2 linked regions of the Pelodiscus sinensis genome follow. The protein of the gene in region 2 purifies or fractionates together with the protein of the main gene of each other region. This does not show direct contact. Links are inferred from orthologs where the notes say so. Each region holds a gene or a part of one and is shown on either strand. Other genes may lie near its edges.

The links.
Region 1: the proteins of SMARCA5 (region 2) and HDAC1 fractionate together in Homo sapiens (co-fractionation; 3 studies listed by BioGRID). This does not show direct contact. The link is inferred for Pelodiscus sinensis from reciprocal best matches to the Homo sapiens genes SMARCA5 and HDAC1.

What each region holds. Positions count from the first base shown.
Region 1 is NC_134735.1:3,685,650-3,696,434, reverse strand, and holds the start of HDAC1 (histone deacetylase 1), read right to left. Parts: upstream 4,272-10,785; 5' UTR 4,159-4,271; coding exon 4,110-4,158; intron 1-4,109. Other genes in the region: tyrosine-protein kinase Lck, read right to left, coding at 9,384-9,586, 10,722-10,785. UniProt on the Homo sapiens protein: Histone deacetylase that catalyzes the deacetylation of lysine residues on the N-terminal part of the core histones (H2A, H2B, H3 and H4).
Region 2 is NC_134715.1:41,841,228-41,851,905, reverse strand, and holds the start of SMARCA5 (SWI/SNF-related matrix-associated actin-dependent regulator of chromatin subfamily A member 5), read left to right. Parts: upstream 1-6,533; 5' UTR 6,534-6,803; coding exon 6,804-6,941; intron 6,942-7,352; exon of another isoform or gene 7,353-7,521; intron 7,522-10,678. UniProt on the Homo sapiens protein: ATPase that possesses intrinsic ATP-dependent nucleosome-remodeling activity.

The sequences.
Region 1 (10,785 bases), on a different chromosome or scaffold from region 2:
CCCCAGCTGCTCTGCCCCAGGGGTCCCCAAGTCAGCCGCTGCTGAAACAGATCAGCGGCTGATTCCAGGAAGCCCGGGGCAGAGCAGCTCTGCCCCGGGCTTCCTGGAATCAGCCGCTGATCTGTTTCAGCAGCAGCTAAATTGGGGATCCCTGGGGCAGAGCAGCTGGGGTCCTGCCGGGTTGGTCCGGCAGCGCCGTCCTTTGGCGCTGCAGGACCAACCCGGCAGCACTCCAGCTGCTCTGCCCCAGGTGTCCCCAAGAGCAGCTGGGGTGCTGCCGGGTTGGTGCTGTAGCGCCACCCCTCGGCGCTGCAGCACCACCCCTCGGCGCTGCGGGACCAACCCGGCAGCACCCCAGCTGCTCTATTGCAGGCATCCCCGATTCAGCTGCTGCTGAAACTGACCAGCAGCGGCTGAATCAGGGACGCCTGGGGTAGAGCCAGACTATCGTGAGGGGGGGCTATGAAGGGTCTGGGGTGGCATCCCCTCCCACCCCACTCCAGACCCCTCATAGCCCCTCCTTCTGATAGTCCGGCATATCTGATAATCCGGCACCTCCTGGGTCCTAAAGGTGCCGGATTATCGGAAGTTTATTGTAGTTGTCCTTTAATGGCATCATCTCCCAATATTAGAAATCTTCTCTAGGGTGATCTTGTGCTAATGAAGATACAAGTCTCCTTGAGAAACTCTGCTGTGTAGCCTCAGCACTGGACTGGAGGCAGGAACTCTCAATTTCTTCAGCCGCCTAAGAGCCTCAGGCAAATCACTTAGGCTATGTCTACACTTGCGGCTTCTTACGCAAGTATGGACGTTCTTGCGCAAGAATCCGCAGAGCGTCCACACTGCCCGCCCGCTCTTACGCAAGGAAATCTACAGTACGGCGTGGTAAGAGAGGGCTTCTTGCGCAAGAGCTACGCTCTTTTATAACAGGTGTAAGCCCTCTTGCGCAAGAGGGCAGTGTGGACGCTCGGCAGGGATTTCTTGCGCAAGAAAGCCCTAGGGCTAAAATGGCCATCAGAGCTTTCTTGCGCAAAAGAGTGTCCACACTGCCATGGGCGCTCTTGCGCAAAAGCACAGCTCACACATGGCAGTGTGGAAGTCTTCTTGCACAAGAACCCTTGCGCAAGATGTTCTTGCGCAAGAAGCCGTGAGTGTAGACATAGCCTTAGAGATCTGCCTCACCTTCGTTATCTGTAAAATGGCAATGCTTCCTGTTTCCTATCTCACCGGTGCACATGGCGCGAACACAGTTAATGCCTGCAATGCACTGTGAAGATGAACTAAAATAATTGGGATCATAAAATAAGATTTTGTATATCAGTGCTTTCCTGTGCATCCAGGCCTATCCTATAGGTGATTCACACTCAACAATGACAAAAAATAAGAGTCAAGTAGTTTCACAACCCCAAACCACCCTAAGTAGTAAGAGAGGCAATCTGGCCTAGCAGTGACTCAGTTGGGAGTATATAATGTTTCATCATGGATCTCAACATTCAGGAGTAATTTTCACTGCCCCTGCAAAGACTGAAGCCTTCGCTACATTTCTCCTTGTGTAGACAGAGAAAAATCACAATTTGCATTGGTGCAGTTTTAATCTGCTTGAAACTGGGGGAGACCGCGGCCTTCCTTGTCTACAATAGAACTTAATGCTGATGCAGTGGTACCAACACTGAGAATTAGGTTAATTCCAAGCATTAACAAGTCCCAAAAGACTTGGAAGATGCTAAAATAACAAGGAGTCCTATGTTACTTTAGGGACTAGCTAGGGAACATATGGTAGAGAGCAATATTTAAACACCACATTAATAACAGTCCAGGAAACTTGCAACTTGGTCACGTGCAACTTACAAGTGGTTTGAACTGGCCAGTCTATCTTGAAGTCTATTTTGCTAAACCAAGTTATTTACCATTTCTTTTCATAAGCAGTGGGAATTCGGTGTCCTCTAAGAGCATGTCTACACTGCAGAAAAGGTGTGTTCTTAATTTGGGTTACTTGTCATGCCCCGGGTTAAAATAGCAGTCAAGACATAGCAACTCTGCTTTTATATTGTGTTATGGGCTCAAGTTAAAGTCTACAGAGAGTCTGGAGCTGGACTTGAGCTATTAACCTGAGTTGCCAGGTCTTCACTGCTATTTTAATCCAAACAACCTAAGTCAAGAGACTTTTTTTTTTTTAAACACTACGTAGACATCCCCTAAAACGCTATTACAAACTGTACTCTACCAGCATGCTAGTCTTTATATTTACTGACCTCCAAGCATTACCTATCCTGCTGAACCAAACAGGTGGAAACCAAGCACCACAGTTTTATTGTTAGGTTAAGCATGAGCAGGTGGTGAGGAGCTATAACACTCACTTTCCCTCACTACCTTGTGATAAAATTACAAATGCCTCATCACCACGTTGTATTTTACAATGCTGTAACTAAGGCCATGTTATCATCATGGTGTAAAAACCAAAATGAATAAAAACCAACACAAATGTCACCTTTGTGTCCATGATGACAAAACCCTAGTTCATCACCTGTGTGTGAATACATGTGCAAATATTGTGCATCTGAAGGGGCAATGAGAACCCCAGACAGAGCTTTCATTCACCATCTGACAATCACTCAGACAGGTACAGCATTCCCACAAATATCACCACCAGAAACCTGTATTTCCAGGAACCCTGAAGGATGCACAAAGTTTAACCTTGGGGCATTAATGTGGGTCACAAATATTTTGATTTTATGTCTAACATGCCTCAAGCGCACAGATCAGCTGTTGGTGACAAGAGAAGTCAGACTTGTGGTATAATGGTAACTGGCCGAACCAAAGACAGCAACAAGTTTTGCCAGGGCTGACCCCCATCTAGCACTCCACTGAAATCAGTAGGGCATTGTGCCCAGGCAGGAGTGGATCTCATTTTGGAACCAGGGCCTAATGTTGCAAGTACTGTATTGAAGAAATAAAAGCCCCGATATATATTTGATGGAGCAGAACACTTAAATAAACCATACTAAGATGCCTGAATGATCGCTACAAATACCTCCTAGCCCCACAATAAGAGGAAGCAATTGCCAATTCTCCCACTGAATTAGCCCTGTTGCCCTGGCCAAATTCCAACCAGGGTAACACCCAACTTTTGGGGAAATGTCATGGAATGAACACACACACAAAACACTGCCCGCCATACCTAATGCCTACACAATAACCCTGGCCACAGAATCTCACCAACTAAAAAAAAAGCAACTGTGCTGACTGATATTACCAGTATAGATCCGAAAGTATTCAAAAGTATCTTAACACCTCCCCACAGACCCTTCTCCAGCAGCCTAGGGCACTTCAGCATCTCATCCTCACCCCCTGGTGAGCCTTCTCCCACACCCTCCTTTCCTCTTCCTTGCCCCCATCCCAGGCCCTGCCCCAGCACCCCTCCTTGCCTCATCTTCCCCTCACTGTAGGCCCTTTCCCAACACTCCCTCTTTACCCTTCCCCAGAACCCCAGATCCTTCCCCAGTATGCACCCATCCTCACCCCTCTAGACCCTTCCTCAGCACCCTCTTCATCCCTAACCTCTCTCCTGGCCCTTCCCCAATGCCCCTCCCCAGCACCCCCCCATCTAACCCTTCCCTCTTCAAGCCTTTCCCCAAAGCCCCCCATCCTCACCCCTCCCCTCACAAGCCCTTCCCCAGCGCCCCCCATCCCCGCCCCTCCCCCCACAAGCCCTTCCCCAGCGCCCCCCATCCCCGCCCCTCCCCCCACGAGCCCTTCCCCAGCACCCCCATCCTTGCCCCTCCCCCCACGAGCCCTTCCCCAGCACCCCCCATCCCCGCCCCTCCCCCCACGAGCCCTTCCCCAGCACCCCCCATCCTCGCCCCTTCCCCCACGAGCCCTTCCCCAGCGCCCCCATCCTCGCCCCTCCCCCCACGAGCCCTTCCCCAGAGCCCCCCATCCCCACCCCTCCCCCCACAGCGCTCCCCATCCCCACCCCTCCCCCACGAGCCCCTCCCCCCACAGCGCCCCCATCCTCGCCCCTCCCCCCACAGCGCCCCCATCCTCGCCCCTCCCCCCACAGCGCCCCCCATCCCCGTGTCTCCCCGCGGGGCCCGGCCCGGGGCTCTCACCGTCATAGTAGTAACAGACTTTCCGCTTGGTCCCCTGTGTCAGCGCCATTTTCCTGCCGCCCGAGCGCACCAAACCCTCCCGCAGCGCAACCGAACGCGCCCCGGGGGCCAAGCACCCCGCGAGCTGCTCCTCCCGCCCCCGCGCGGGGCAGCCGGCCTATCGGGGAGTGGCTTGTACCCACTTCCTGAGGAATAGCCAATGAGAAGTGACGTAGGTCGGGGTGGCGGCATTAGCACGGTAGGTAGAGCGCAAGTGTTCCTGGACTGTACCACTCTAGAGAAGGGGGAGAAAAAGACAAACGGGTTGGCAGGACGGCACCACTCCCGGAGAAGGGGGGGTCTAAACAGACAGGAGTTTACCACTGGTGGAGGGGAGAGGGGGAGAGAGATAAAGGAAAAGTACCATTCCTCAGAGAATGGGAGGGGAGTTCAGACAGAAATGTATCATTCCCCCAGGAGAGGAATCTGGGCTGAAAGGACTGACCTATTCTCACAAGAGGGGTGGTCTGGGCAGCAAGGACTAAACCACTTGACCCCTGCTGCTATGACATCACGTGCCACATGGCTGCACAAGACATTCCCATCTAGATTCTAGTCCCTTGCTAGGGCCAGCCCACAGTGCACCGCCCAGGGGCCAGGCATGTCCATAGGCCTGGTTGCAATGGGCTGGAGGTAGCAGAAGTCCCAGAATGCACTGGGGCCAGCATGACTGTAGGGGAGGGGACATTATGTCTGCCCCAGGTGGGGGTAGGGCTGGGGTCATGGGGGGCAGTGGTCTCTGTAAGATGGGCAGTTGCGCAGCTGTTCTGGAGAGATTCCAGTGCTGCCCAGCTGATTAGCAGAGCACCCAGATCTAGTTGTTTTGTTTCTACTGGTGATGCACATAAAATGTATTCCACACATGAATGGAAAAAATCCACACATGGATGGGAAAGATTAGAGGGAACATTGGTGGGGGGATGCATTCAGGGGACCACCATCGCCACCAGATGCTTCAATAATACACAATCCCCTGCACCCGTGGAAAAAAGTGAGCTGATTTTTCACACTTGCTGTCCTCACCTTAGTCTGTGCAAATGAGGCAGCTATTTGTTCATGTCACAACCCAGCTCTTTCACCTAGGGACTGACCAGTGTCACCACAGCTTCTGCCACATGCCAGTTGTGCTATACCCTTGCAAGACTTTTTTGTTAATCCCCCCAAAATATGTTTCAGTGTGTGTGTGTGTGTGTGTGTGTGTGTGAGAGAGAGAGAAATGTGACACTTGGGAGTTCAAAAGACGATATTGAAAATGAGCTGAACAAACATGAATTGTGGAGACAATATGTGTTAAGTGGGTTTCCTGGGAATCCCTAGGGAAAGCTTAATACAAATTCCCCAATCCTTGTTATGCAAAAAACAGCCTTTTACACCCTGATTGTGTCTACATTGGCATGATTTTGCACAAAAACACCCGCTTTTGCACAAAAACATTCTGTCTGTCTACACTGGCAGGGAGTTCTTGCGCAAGAACACTGACATTCTAATGTGTGAAATCAGCGCTTCTTGCGCAAGAACTATGACGCTCCTGCTCAGGAATAACCCCTCTTGCGCAACTGTTCTTGAGCAAGAGGCCAGTGTAGACAGGCAACATGAATTTCTTGCGCAAGAAAGCCTGATGGCTAAAATGGCCATCGGAGCTTTCTTGCGCGAGAGCGTCTACACTGGCATGGATGCTTTTGCAAATCTCTTGCGCAATGGCACATGCCAGTGTAGACGCTGTCTTGCGCAAATACTTTAACGTAAAAACTCTTGTGTTAAAATTATTTGCGCAAAATCTTGCCAATGTAGACGTAGCCTCTGAGGAAAGGGTAAGTGTCTGTGGATTGACCTGTTACAGAGGGCCAAGCGCAAAGGTGAGCGCAGCATACAGACACAGCTGATCAGCCCAGCCTAGGTTCCAGTTCTGGATCTCTGGACATGAACTTGTAACTGCAGGAAACATTCAGTTGTGGATTTTGAAGGACAGACTCCTGCCAGAGCCTTAGGCTGGAGTGGGAGGGGGTGACCTCTAGCAGACTTTCTAGCTTGCACATAGCTTCTTTTATTAATGTGTTTTTGCTGTACTGTAGTGCTTTTACCTTAAGAATAAATGTGCTGGCTTAGCCAGAACTGGGTGATAACCTACCTACACCTCTAGGCAATACACTGGGCCTAGTTCCTAGAGAGAAAGCAAAGCATAGTGTGCTGGCCTGCTAGGCAGCCTGGCTTGCTGGGAATATGTAAGCCAGGGAGCAGTGTAGTTTAAAATCCCTGGACAGGAAGGGATGAGATGCAGGTCTCCACCATAGAGAGGTGATAATTGGTAGCCTGAAGCCTAAAATAGATCACACAGGGTGACTACTGGCGGAGGTTGCCAGAAATTGTGACACCAGCAACCCCTTACTGGGCACTGTCTGAAGTCCCCCCTCTCACCCTGCTAGGTGTTAAGTTTGTCCCAACTGAGCCCCCTGCCCGTCCCCAGCTAGTGCCAAGTGTGCCCCTCGCCCTCTGCCGAATGCTTCCTCAGGCCCCCACCCCCGCCCAGCGCCCTCACTCCCATCCCACTGGGCCTGACTCGGGGCCTGGCCCGGTTGGGCTCCCCCTGTGAGGTTGTGAGCACACACAGCTCCCTGCGGTCAGCCATCGCCCTGCTTCGGGCCTGATTCTGTGTCGTGCTGAGCCACCCACCCCACACAAATAAATCCACCCACGCCCGGGGCTCGGATCCCGCCCGCGCGGCACTGGAACGGTCTTGCACGACTGGCCCCCGCGGCAGAAGAGAGGGGCCACTCCTCTGCCGCTCGGCATCTTCAAGGAGAGCCAGGAGCCCCCCCTCCACCTCTGTATACACCCAATGTCAAGCTCGCCCCCTCCCACCCCCTCAAGTGGAGGACACGGGTGCCGTTTACCGAAAGGTGTTTGTTTACTGAAAATCAAAGAGCAACACAAGACAGGGCTTTAAAATACAAGGGCAGGGGGGGGATCAGAGTCCTCACAGGCTGGTCATTCAGAGAGGCTCGTTCCAGGGACTTGAGAAGGTTTCTCTCCCACAAGCCTTTTTGGGGGACTATGTAGAACCCCCGAGGGTAGGTGTGGGTCCACTCTAGAGCCACCACCTGCCAGCCCAGCCTGGGGTCGAATTCTGAGCCCCCCTTCTGGAGCTAAATGTTGTGGTTTGAGCCTGTCTCGATCCCCTTTTCAGGGCACTAATGTCACGGTCAACGGTGCGGAGAAAACAGAAGAGATTTCACCTCTGCAGCTCCTGCCAGGTGAAACAGCCTCCTCTACCTCTCCACACTCCCTGACTCATCAGGTCAGCTGCAGTCTGAGCTGAAATGTCTCCTTCTCCGCCTGCTGGTTTGCTCCTCTCTCCCTTGGCTACAATGGTTGCACTTGGTGGCGGTTTTACCAAACGTTTGGAAGGGCTCTGGGAAAAGTGATTGACTTGTGCCCATACCATAAGAACTAGCAGTCGCCAAATGAAAGGAATAGGTAGCAGGTTTAAAACAAACAAAAGGAAGTTCAAAAAAGAACTAGATAAATTCATGGAGAATGGGATGGGCAGAGATGATGTCACGAGTCTCTGTCAGAAACTGGGAATGAGTGATGGAGAAAGCACTTGATGACTCCGTTCTATTCACTCCTGCTGGGTGTCTGGCACTGGCCACTGTCAGAAGACAGGATCCTGGTCTAGATGGACTTTTGGTCTGATCTAGTCTGGCCGTTCTTACATAATACTTCACACAACGCACAGTCAACCTGTGGAACTCCTTGCCAGAGGATGTTGGGAAGGCCAGGACTTTAACAGGATTCCAAAAAGAGCTAGATAAATTCATGGAGTATATAGGTCCAGCCAATGCTTTTTTGGGGATGGTACTGCCATGCAGTACTGGCACCTCCAGACGCAGTACCGGCCCCTCTAGTCAGAGCTCAACAACTTTTCCCCTGTAGTACCAGCACCTTTTTTTTAAAACAAAAAAAGCACTGGGTCCATCAATGGCGATTAGCCAGGGTGGGCAGGGATGGTGTCCCTAGCCTCTGTCAGGCTGGGAATGGGCGACAGGAGAGGGATCACTTGCTGATTCTCTGTTCTGTTCATTCCCTCTGGTTCATACCTGGCGTTGGCCCCAGTCGGCAAACAGGATGCTGGGCTAGATGGACCTTTGATCTGACCCAGTTTGGCCGTGCTTATTTTCTGTTCGCACACCCCATCGCGTGACAGGCATTGTTCAGAGTCATGTGGTTTCACAGTGAAAATCAGCAAGAGCGCAGGGCAGGGAGCAGCAGCTTCGTGGGCACTGGGTCGTGTTCGGGGGTGTCCCGGAGACCGTCTGGCTCTGGCGCAAAGAGGGTTATGTTGCACAGTGGGGGAGTCCATCGATTTGTACGCTTTGATCACAGCCCTGAGCGTGAGCAGGTCCCAGTTCCAAGGCTGGCAGCTCCATGCAAAACCCCTTGACCCTGATTAATCCATCCATCTTCCCTGGGGGAATACAGCATTGGGAACACAGGGGAGGGATGGGAGGGCGGGGCGTGGGGTGCTCCACACCGCAGCTCTCTGAGTCTCTCCCTCCAGAAGATCAGTGCTGAGAAGGGGTTTTTAGTTCCAGTGCAATCGGTGGCGGGTCCTGAGTGTTCCCCGATGCCCGAGGAGAGAGAACTTGGCGTCTGTCTCATGCTGGCGCAAAACTGTTATTTTAGTTGCTATGGGTCTGATTGTATCCAGGGCAGCTCTCAGCTGGACGTGCACGGCATGTCCCCATGTGTCTGCAGCGGGAGGGGGGCAAGGGGGTGCGCCCCCACGCCTAAGCCTTTGTGTGCATCTGCATAGCTGCCCGTTTCTGTGATTCCTGCCCGGGTGCACACCCCTGTGGGGTGCGTGTGCATGGCGTGAGCCCCCGGGCAGCGCTGTGAGCAGACACGTGTGCCCGCGGAGTTTGCCTGGGCGCTCCAGCCTGTGGGTGAAACCTGGCAGCCCTCAGGGCCGTGCAGTTCTTTTGCCGGCGTGCGTGAGACACACGGCGCCCCGGCTCTGAGAATCAAGACGGATCTGCCACGCGTGTGTGGGTGCTGCAGGAACATGGACACATCTTCACTGTCGTGAGGGTTCTGCCAGGTTTAAGCTCTGATCCGAAAGCCCAGGGCTGAGCTGTGTGAGTCTTTGAGGAGCTCATGCACCCGGACCGTTCCCCCCCCCCACCCTCCCTTACATCCCAAAGTGAGGATGCTGCCAGCCCCTTGCTCAGGGTCCCCTCATGGCTGCTGCTGGTACTGGCCCTCTGTGGCCGTAAAAAAGTCCTCGAGAACGCTCTTCATGTACTCAAAGGTGGGGCGCTCCTCTGGGTTCTCCTTCCAGCAGTGCAGCATCAGTCCATACAGCTCCTCCGGGCAGTTGTCAGGCTGAGGCATTCGGTAGCCACGCTCCAAGTTCTGTATCACTTCCGGATTAGTCATCCCTGCGGTCAGAACACATGGCCCTGAGTTAGGGACGACCGAATCAGGGTGCAGTGGACACAGCCCAATGCTGGGAGAGGTGTCGCTCTGCCCTGCCCCACAGCCGTGATCCTGCCCTTTTCCCTGCCCCACCTCTGGCTGATCCAGTTTGGGACAGGAACAGCTGGGAGCCTCCTCACTGTGCCCTGCCACACCCCGTTCTGGGAGATGCAGGGACACAGGAGGGCTGTGTCTAGACTGGCAAGGTTTTCCGCAAAATCATCTGATTTTGCGGAAAAACTTGCCAGCTATCTACACTGGCTGCTTGAATTTCCGGAAAAGCACTGACGATCTCCTGTAAAATCATCAGTGCTTTTCCGGAAATACTATGCTGCTCCCGTTCGGGCAAAAGTCTTTTTCCGAAAGACTTTTGCGCAAAAGGGCCAGTGTAGACAGCACAGTAGTGTTTTCTGCAAAAAAGCCCTGATCGCGAAAATGGCGATCGGGGCTTTTTTGCGGAAAACCGCGTCTAGATTGGCCACGGACGCTTTTCTGCAAAAAGTGCTTTTGTGGAAAAGCATCCTGCCAATCTAGACGTGCTTTTCTGAAAATGCTTTTAACGGAAAACTTTTCCGTTAAAAGCATTTTCGGAAAATCATGCCAGTGTAGACGTAGCCGAGATGTTCAGTCACGACTCCAGCTACTGTTGTCAATTTTATGTGGGTGATGGACCGGCATTTGTAGCCCAAAGAGATACACAGAACGAAACCATCCCATCAGTAGAGAGGGGTCATGGGCCCATGTGTGTGCGCTAGGGATGTGAAAGGTTAACTGGCAAGTATCACCATTAACAGGTGACGCTTACCCGTTCCAGTTAACTGTTAACCAGTGGGGGCTGGAGCAGCTCCCCTCCAGTCCCGCTGGGAGGCTCTCTGCAGATAGGGGCTGTTCCAGTCATCCAGAGCAGCCCCTGCCCACGGTGGGCCCAGACGCCTCACAGACAGCGGCTGCTCCAACGTCCGGAGCAGCCTCCAGCTGTGGTGGAGAGGGGGAGCGCTCCAGCCCAGCGGGAATGGAGCAACCCGCCCCCCTCCACGCCCAGGCCCCCTTTAATCAGCTGCATCCCTAATGTACGCGGTGCTGCTGTGAAGTCCTAACCTGGATAAGGGATCCGGCCATAGGTGACAATCTCGGTCAGGAGGATTCCAAATGACCAGACATC
Region 2 (10,678 bases):
AAATCATCACATACCCACTTGATTCTGGGAGCTGGGGATTTAAGGAAAACAATCATTATACTGAATCATGAGTTAGCAACACTGCTGGCCCACCCTGTCACAAGAACAGCACAAAGCAGAACTAGGACCTATTGATTGGTGATAAGCTCCACCTTGTGCATATAGGAGGCAGCCACTCTCAGAAATTCCAGTAATCAAGCTCATCAGATCATCCCCTGCAGTCTGGAAGCAGCAAGCTCAGCCCACCAGACAGAACTGCTTGAGAGAAACCCTGTGACCAATGCCAGAAGGGGCACTGATGATCTCTCGAGAGCTTTGTCCAGCTTAACAAAGGAGACACGGTAACATTCAAAAAGGTTTTACTTAATAGCAAAGGGAGAAGCAAAATTAATCAATACTCAGTCTTTTTTAAAAGGATAGGATAAAATATGCCATGGAGACAAGGATATATTCATCTATTGTTATTTGCATTATAAAGTGTAGGAGTCTCAAGCAGATACCGGGATCCCATGGTGTGAGGCACTGGAGAAAAACATAAGAACGGCCGTACTGGTCAGACCAAAAGTCCATGTAACCCAGCATCCTGTCTTCCAACAGTGGGCAATGCCAGATGCACTAGAGGGAGTAAACTGAACAGGGAATCATCAAATGACCCCTCCCTGTCACCAATTTCCAGCCTCTGACAGACAGAGGCAAGGGACACCATTCTTATACATCCTGGCTAATAAGTATTGACGGACCTAACCTCCATGATCTTGTTCTTTTTTGAGCCCTGTTAAAGTCCTGGTCTTCACAACATCCTCTGGCAAGGAATTCCACGGGTTGACTGTGAGTTGCGTGAAGAAATACTTCCTTTTGTTTGTTTAAAACCTGCTACCTATTAATTTCATTTGGTGACCCCCTAGTTCTTATGTTAAAACATTCACATAACAAAAAAGACAATCCCTGCTCCAAAGAAATTACAGGCAGTCCCCCGGGTTACATGGATCCGACTTACATCGGATCCCTACTTACAAACGGGATGAGGCAACCCCACACCAGCTGCTTCCCCCCAGCAGACCAGGGAGAAGCGAAGCTAGCACCCCCCTCCCCCCCGAGCAGACCAGGGAGACGCTGAGCGGCTTTTCTCAGCAGACACCTCAGCTTGAGAATAAAGGACTGAGGGAAGTGAGGTGTGGAAGAATAAAACTGAGCTCTGGAGAAATGTTTGGCTAGAGTTTCCCCTACAATATGTACCAGTTCTGACTTACATACAAATTTAACTTAAGAACAAACCTACAGTCCCTATCTTGTACGTAACCCGGGGACTGCCTGTATAGTCTAAGTAGGGCTAGAGACTTTGCTGGCTATACTGCCTCTGATCATGTGTAACACTCTTATGCATTAATTCCTCTCTTTTTTTTTTCCTGTTGTTTCATGAATGAACTATATACTGTATATAATTTAAAGTAGCTCTGAATTTTATTTATGAGGAGGAGGGATTTTTTCCGTGGAAAAATCCATTGGCCTGAAATTCAGGAAACCTGGCATCCAACTTACTCAAGCATGTTTTCTTTACTTGAATGGGGAAATTATTTGTAATATTTTCAATTGATGATCGGGTTCTGATTTCTACTATATTGACTGGGGGAAAACATTGAAAGACTTCTATGCACACATTTCAGCTAAGGATTGGTAAACTCAATTCAATTTTCTATGTTGTGCCAGTGGTTGCTCAAAATGGGAATTATCTGTGCTATATTTACACTTGAGAGTGTCTTGTAGAACTATATTCCTGGTCTATATCTCCAGGAATCTTTCCTGGCTTCTCCAAGTAGGCAATAGTTAAAGACTTGGTAAACTTCAGAAAGAGTGCTGTTCATTATGTAGAGCAAAATTTGCCCTGTGTGGAGAGGGCCTACACAAGCTCTATACCCCGTTTTTAAGTCTTCTAGCTAGAATTTCACTTATACTGCATATCCTCAGTAGCATCTTCACTTCTCACACTTGTGATTAATATTCCGCATGTAATGAAATGGGAACAAAAGTGGTGCCTTTTTAAAAATATCTTTCAGAACCCTTAGCTGACTACCATTTATTCTTCTGACAATGCAGTCTCTTCATTACAGATGCCTTCTTATTTTTTGTGTCAGATTGTGATCTTTCTCTGAAACTGTGTATGAGCACTGTCACACCTTCACCTGTCAGCTTTGGCTACACATTTTCAAGTCCCCTGCTTTCACATTCTAATGAACTTAGTACATTATGTTGCTTGTGAAATATTTTCCTGTAGACATAGCACATCTGTCGAGGTCACACTGATTTCCTGAGTCTTTGGACATCATTAAAAATTATTATTAATTGTATTTGAAAATTAAAATCTGTCATATTTGAAAAGCAATGACTTTGAAAATAGGTACTTTTTTACTTCATTTTCCTTCAGAGAGAGCAGAACTCTCATGAACATGTTAAAGAATCACCAAAGCTCTATCACATTATTATTTAAAACAATTGTTAATGTAAAAAGGAGTTAGAACATGTACATGAACCAATAATTTGCATTTTTACAGAAACAAAGGAATTACTGTATTGTGGATAAATATAAAGCTCATATGAAAAATTCAGGTATGTAACCCAAACATAACCTACATATAACTAGGTAATCTTGGAGTCAGTGGAATTAGGTGCCTAGGCAATTTGGAAATCCTACTTGGCATCCATCTAAACCTTTTGGGACATAAATACTTTTTAAAAATCTAGCCCCAGGTTATGATTCAGAAGGAAACTGTTTTGCTTGGTGAAGGTATGAAAACCGAGGAAACTAGATTAAAATGCTATGATGTAGGCCTCAATCCTACAAGTTTATAGGCACAGGCAGATCTGGAGTTCCCCTGAAGTCATTGGTGCTCTGTGTGGATGCAGCAGTCCACCTGCATATATATGAGTGCTCAGAAGCAGGGTACTAGAAGCTTTTTTTCATATGCAACACCTGCTTTTAGTAAAGTCCAATTTAATACCAATTTTATACCCTATTTTCAACCCATAATTGACTTTCACACGGAGGTCAAGTGACTTGCCCAATGTCACACAGTTAAATGATTTTTTTTTTTAGGTGAACCTGATGGCTTCTAGTCTTAGCCAGGAAACAATGTCACTCAAGAACTGATCAGAGAGAAATCAGGCTTCATTCTACAACTAGGATTTTGAGGATAAGATATGTGTTTGCATTGAACCCATATAAATATGCATGGTATATGAGGCTTTTCAGTCACAGAAGTGTGGTAAATAAAAACAAAAAGAAGCATCTTTTTCATTTTGATTTTTGTTCAGCAAGAGACAGCATCAGTTACAGAAACTCATTCTCCAAGGAACTCTAAAAAAAAATAAACTGATGTCCAGATTCTGATACTACATAGGTATATGTTGTTCTTTTACTTCACTTGAAGTTGCATTGAAGTGAAGTTTGACACAGATATGTTGTCAGGTATTATATGGGGTTTTTTTAGGGTCAAGTTTACTAAAGCTGGAATTATCCTACATGTGGTATTTTTTTTAGAGTCTGTATTGCGCAAACAGCCCTACATATGGTCAACTTACAGTTCATTACATTTAGGGTGTGCACTAAAAACATACTTAATGCTATTCATTTTGTATGAAACATTTTGCAAGCACCATTATGCTATAACTTGAATAAATCCAGTATAGTGCTTACTGTACTTAAATTTAGTAGCACATATGAACAATTAAGTATGTATAGTCAATTATGTTTTAACATAGTTCCACTGAATTGTTGAAATGGACATACGATAAGCAGATTTTGTTTTGGTTTTGGGTGAGAGAGAGATGGCGTCACAATTTGGGTTTCAAGCAGTGTTGATATTGTGAAACAGTATCTCAGCTGGCTGGGTGTAACTGAGACACAGTAATACCAATAAATACATGTGCCTTTTCAGCACTGTGATCTGTAGAAATCCTGATCTCCTGAGGATGGAATAAGTATTGTTGGATCATGGAGATAGTGATTTGCATAGTATTAAAACAGGCCCAATCATGTTTGCTCAAGTGTCTTGCTGGGACCAGTGTGCTTGTTTGCTCAAGTGTCTTGCTGGGACCAGTGCTTACTTCAGTGGGGCCAGGATTTATCTAAAAACTTAAAAGAAGGGGTCCTTCCTTTCAAACTTATGAAGGAAGCAGGGACAATGTGTCGGCTCTCCACTAAAGCATGCTAAAGTAAAACTAAGAAAGGGACTTGCTAAGGGAATTTAAATATCGTGAGGAGGGGAGGCTGATATTGACACATAAAGACTATCCCCCTTTTACAGAGTACAGCATTTCTCCCCAGTTATAGACAATCATACCATTTCCATTTTTTTCTCCAAGAACTGGATTTTAAAAGCTGTTAAAAAAACTGGAACACTTTGTAGACCAACTTTAGGGAAAAAAAACAATATTAGAAGATTTGTGATTTATATTATCTGGAAAGAAGGGAAAAACAAAGTATTAAGACAGTAACTGTGATTCCTTTTTATAAAATGGGAGGTCTTATAAACATCCATTGCTATCTTTTTCTACGTTCTTTCTGCCTCACCTTTTACTTGGAGGAGGAGAATAGAAAATATTCTTTGAGATGACTACCATATTCTGTGAAAGTAAACCTACACAAGTTTACTTGACCCAAATATCCACCAGGTTTACCAGTGCTCAGTTTCTTCAAATCAGATAAGATCAGGTGTGTTCAGAGTGATATGGCCATCAAGTTATGCTTTCACTTTTGATCTTTTTTTTTTTATAGCTTATAAACAGTTTTACAGACACTGAACATTAATAATGTTCTTATTCACCTAATAGGATCTTTTAAAGCAGCATATACCGTATGTGTTTTCCTTATTTAAAAAAAAAAATAAAAACAAGTGTTCAATGAAACAGGAAGCATCGCCTGGGAATTTTCACACAAAGAAAAGCTAATTGAACTACTCTTTCCATTCTGCATATTTACAAATGCTGTGTTATTGCTCAGTTCTCTCTGGAAAAATAAATATCTTAATAAATAGAGGCCTGCAAATCTGTGGATATCTGCTTGATATCCACAGGTGTAGCCGCAGCTTGTTTTTGCAGATATGGATGAAAATAAAAATTTAGTTTTCTAGAACCCTGCAAATTTGTGAATATCCACTTTATATCTGTGTCTATCCATCCTCCGCTCATTTTTGCGGATACAGATGTAGATACAAATTTTGTTTCTGCATAGGGCTTTATTGATAAGGTAGGGGTTTTTTTCAATTATTTTGTGCAGGTTTATGTGTTGTCCTATTTTTTTTTGTGTCTGGCTTGTTTCCTGACTTGTGACAACAGTCTCTTAATGCCTCTTCTGCTCTCAATATGAGTTTTCTTTTGGTATTGACATTGCTACTTTGAACTGAATTTTAATTCTCTCATGCATTTCTTTGTTATGGAGATCTTTTCCAGTTTGTTAATCTCTTCCCTTTCCACTTCTTTGCTTGCTTCATTTTTTCATCTTTTACTTTTACTTTTAAAAACCTTATCGGTGTGGTATGTGGCTCCTGGATCCAATGGCTCTTCATTTTCTCCTGTAATTGAAATTCTCTTTCCCTTTCCAACTGTGTTCCTAATATATCTATTTCTAGTGTTAGCATCTCCCTATTCACCTGGCTACATAGGTACCTATGAAAGAAAACAATAGAGTCCATTCCAAGGGCCTGATCGAGCATGGCCTGGGGTCAACAGAGGACTCCCCAGCTGGCCTTGGCTCTGTGCAGTACTTCCCTGGAACCTGCTCGGGGTGTTGGGGCAGTGTCTGGGTGAGCCTGGATTTAGTTGGGTAGTCCCTAGCTGAGCCTGGGCTCCCCTGCCCCTTTGAAAGGCACAGAGGCATTTCAAAGGGGGTAGCTGCTGCACAGCTGATCTGCAGACCAGCGGTGTAGTGGCACCATTGCACAGCTGGGCAGTGCTGTCACTTTGACGTACCCCTTCCTTTCCCCCTTCCCCCTTCGCTACCGCTCCGTTTGCTACCGCTAGCTGACTACTAGGCAAAAGGCTGTCCAATAAATTCTTATGGGGTAGTGGACTAGTCTTTAGCAGCCCGGGCTTGCTCTAGGTAAGGTCGCTAACCACGTGCCTGGCAGCAAAACCGCCCTCAGACCATCAACCACCCGAAGCAAGCGGGAGTGTAAAATTAAATATGTAAAAATCAACGTGTCCCCTGAAGGAGGCGCGCCCGGCACACGGGCCGGGCGGCTGCAGCCTGCTGCTCGCAAGGCCTGGCTGGCGGCACGCGGGCAAGCGAGTGTCCCAAACTGAACCTTCCCAGGTGTGACGCTCGCTTAGGGGCGGGGTTTCCAGTTAGGCTCCGCCTCGCCGTTCCTTGTACCCAGCGCGGGGAAGCGGCGAGAGAATGGGAAGGTAGTGACGCAATAAGTCTGCGGTTATCCCGGCTCAACTCCTCGCGCGAGCGCGGCCCCGCCTCCCTCTGTCGTAGCCGGCTCGCCGCACCTCGTGGGAGCCCAACCAGAGACGTGTTCGTTGCGCAGGCGCATTGGCTCCCTGCTGGAGTTCTTGCGAGAGTTGGAAGCCGGCTCGGTTGGTTCCTGGTTGGTGGGGAGCGCGCTGCGAAAGCCGGGGCGGCAGCAGTGACAGGGAGGGGGGAATCCCCTCGGCGCGGAGTCTGCGAGCGGCGCCCCCCCCCCCTTCTCTAGCCCGTCCCGCCCGCCGCTGCGTGCAGGGGTCGCTTCTTCTCCCCGCCCAACGGGCGCGGCGGGAGCGGGCTCCCGGCCCGGCATTGTCTGCGGGGCGCGCGCGCCGGGATCATGTCCGCCGGGCAGCAGGAGCCGCCGCCGGATGAGACCCTGTCCCCCGCCGGCACCGCCCCCTCCTCCGCAACCACCAGCAACGGCGGCGAGCTCGCGGGGGCGCCGCCTGTCGGCGCGAGTGACGCTGACATGGAGGTGAGGAGACCCCCCCCCCCCCAAACCCCGGGACCGGGCGTGAGCCGGGGGGGCGGGGGACGCTCTGGAGCTGGTGACGATGCTCCGGCCCCTCGCTCTCCGAGGCCCGCTCCGGGTTTTCCTGTCCCGCCCCGAGCGGCTCCCTCGGCACACGTGGGGTTCCTCTGTCCGACTCCCCCCGTTAGGGCCCGGGGTGGGGGGTGAGTTGAGTCTCCCCCCCCCCCCCCCGTCTGTCCGCAGAGCCGCGCAGTAACCGGTGGCCGAGCCCGCCACCACCCGTCGTGCTGTGCCACGAGGGCTGGGGCCGGCAGGCTGCGTGAGCCGCGTGGGGCAGAGACAATAGAGCGGGCGGGCGGATGAGGAGCCTTCAGCGGCGCGTGTGAATGGAGCGGAGCCGAGCTGAGCCGCCTCCCCTGTACAGCGTGTGCGCCTCGTCTCTCTCTCTTTGGTTCATGAATGAATTGGGGGCGGTCAGGAAACGGGAGTCGCGTCTCGTTGTGTCTAGGGGCTGTGGGAGTCTCCGCGATGCTGGGAAGCGGGTAGCAGCTGTTACGTCGGCTTCCCACCCCTTCAGCAGAAAGTAGGTTCTTCTCTCTTTGTCACATACGCACCCTCTTCCCGTTGTTTGTTTTCTGTTCACGGCTCTGCCTGTCACTTCGGTGGGCGCTGTGTACCTCAATATATGCAAACAAGAGGTTCCTTCCCCTTTATGAACGATGTACCACAGACTGCTACGAGAAAAAGAACACAAAGAAACATTGACGGCTGCTCTCTGACTGATAGACAATGAAAACAATCTGAAATTGGATTTTTGAAGGCAAGCTGGAATAGTCACAGGTTTCCCAAATGTGGCCAACTCTCCTTTCTGTGTTCTGTTTTATTCCAGGAGTATCTAGCTAGAAATTTATTTTTCCTTTTTTCCCCCAGGAAGTTCTTTTTGTAGTGCAGCTGTAACTGTTGAATTAATTCTTCTATTCTTTCTAAGTGAGCTTCCCAGCAAAGATTTATGTTTAGCTGTGCTTTCTCTTTAAGTTATGAAAAAAACAGAGTACATCTGGCAACATTTTATAAAGCAGTGGTATCATCTGTTGTTTGAAATGTCTTATTTTGGCAACAGGTGCCTAATTCAGAAATGTCAGGGGGTTAGGAGAACCTGGGATTTGAACTAATGCCTAGAGATGATTGTTTTGTAACAGCATTTGTTTCTTTAGCCATACATGGAAACTAGTTTGTCTGCTTTTTATTGATGAATATTTCATGTTCTGAATCATTCTTTACAACCAACCTACTTAATCTGACTAGTTTGCAAATTCCATTTTCTTAGAGTAGCTCCTTCAGATGAACAAATAACTAAAACATTGTGGGTAATAAATCCTATTTAAAAACATAAAAGCTAAGCTGGAAGCTATTAAACAAGGATTTTTATATGTTTTTTGTCTCTTGTAAAGTTATAGTTCTCAAGAAGAAACCAAACCACTTTCAATGTTTATTTAAAATATTTCTTCATGTAGTTGTATCTCTTTTAAACTGGATTGGAAAGTTTCCTTATGAAGATTTATAAGTGCTTTGCCTCCTTCCTCTGGAATATTGCTTTACATTGATTCAGAAGGAAAGATTGTTAGCTATTGTTACCAGATTTGGTCCTTTCCTTCCTCCCTCCTCTCCCCCCCCCCCCCCTCCCGAGATGGCTTACTTAACTAGCCAAGACCCAGCCATAACCCAACCCCCCTTCCTCCTTTCTGTATGAAGAGCTATTAGGATCTTGTCTGCACTGGCTTTTTTTAAAATCTCCTACTATTAAACTACTATTGCTACGTCTCAGAGGGATAGCCATCATAAAGTTAGGAATAAAGACACTACCTGGCTAGCATACTACCTTCCATGTTCTAATGACTTAAAAAAACCAAACAATGGGTACTTAAGATCAATTTCCTCCTTCCCTATCAGCTTCATGTAATGTGTACACTCTAATACTACTTTCCCTCTTTTTCACTTCCTTCTCTGCCCCTCCCCCCATTTATTTTGGAACTGGACCTTTAATAACTATTCATCTGAAGAAGTGGCTTGTGCACATGACAGCTCATGATGCCATCTACATGTTTTGTTGGTCTTTAAGGTGCTTCTAGACTATTTGTTGTTTTTTAAGTTTTTCCAGAGATAGTCGTTAGTCTGTATCTGCCAAAATAGTGAGGAGTCCTGTTGCACCTTTACTTGCATTTGATTAAATGGATTTTTGCCCACAAAGACTTATGCCCAAACAAATTCTTTATGGTGCCACATGATTTCTCATTGTTTTTACTACTATAGATTTAACTCTTCTGTTAGTAATAATGGTGAGAAAGCTAATGTAGGTTAGCTGTTGGTGTTCTTAAGATTAGTGGATATATGGTGATAAAAATTTTGGTGGACAGGCAATGTTGCTGACCAGTAGTAGGAAACCTAGTTTAAGGGAAAATGCTAATATAGATACATCTTATGAAGGTATGAAGAGCAATGACACTTTGTTCTTTGGATAGAAACTATAGCTTCCATATTGAGAGAGACATACCATAATTAGGTATTGAAATTAGGAAATCTTCATTTGAGAATTTTTGTTCATACAGTTCCTTCTTCTATAAATGAGGCTCAACATCATAGAGTGAAACAAATGTTACACTTTTCAAAAGAGGAAGAAAGAACAGCTGATGAGTTTACAAAGAAGATCAAGAATGATTTGAGTTCATATTTAGTTGAAGTGTTCAATGGTGTCTTGACTATTTTATGTATGCCTAGTTTCAAAATCTTACCGAAATGTTAAAGTGGAAAATGCTTGTGTTAAATTCAGTCTACAGTTGTTGCCCATTGTCTTTTGAAGTTGTACAACTTAGGGATATTAAAGACTAATTGATCTCCCTCCTGTCCCCCCTGCTGCCTCTGTTAAATAGAGGCAGCAAAGGGAGGTGGGGGGTGGAAAGCGGCACTTGAAAGCGGCAGCACCGCACAGCTGAGCCCAAGATCAGCTGTGTGGCGCTGCTGTTTTGAAATGCCAAGGCTCCTCAGCTGACCGCAGGTTCCTTGGAAATGCTGCACTGGAGCACAGGATCAGCTGGGGAGTCCCCAGATGACACCAGGCTCCATGTGCGCAGCGGCTGCACAGCTGATCCCTGGCTCAGCTGTGTGGCACTGCACATGGAGCCCGGGGTCAGCTGGGGACTCCCCAGTTGATCCTGTGCTCCAGTGCAGCATTTCCGTAGAACCTGGAATCAGCTGGGGACTCCCTAGCTGACTCTGGCTCCATGTTGTGCTGCCTCTGTGAAATGCACAAGAGCCCCCGCTAGGTACTCTTGTACATTTCAAAGCTGACACCTTGTGCAGCCCGGAGTCTGCAGGACTTCTTGCTGGCCCCGGGCTGCATGCGGAAGTGCCTATTGAGTAGTTGATGGAAATTCTTAATCTGACTAGTCTGAAATTCCATCAACTACTCAATTAGTCAGTGAACTGCTAGTTAACACCCTTAGTGTAACTATCACTTTAGGGTGTATCGATTCATGTGTGTAACTTGTCAGCAGTGTATGTCTCTTATTCAGGGGTCACAGCCGTTCTGCTTGTCTCTAAGCATGAAGCAGGAGAGGGTTTCCAGTTAGATCCTGGCTAGAAGAGTAGGACGGTCTGTTGTTGAGCTGATACCTGAGTGCAATGATTTTTCCAGTTCTTTTCTTTTGGATCTTTTCTTTTTTGACTGACAAACTAAAATTCTG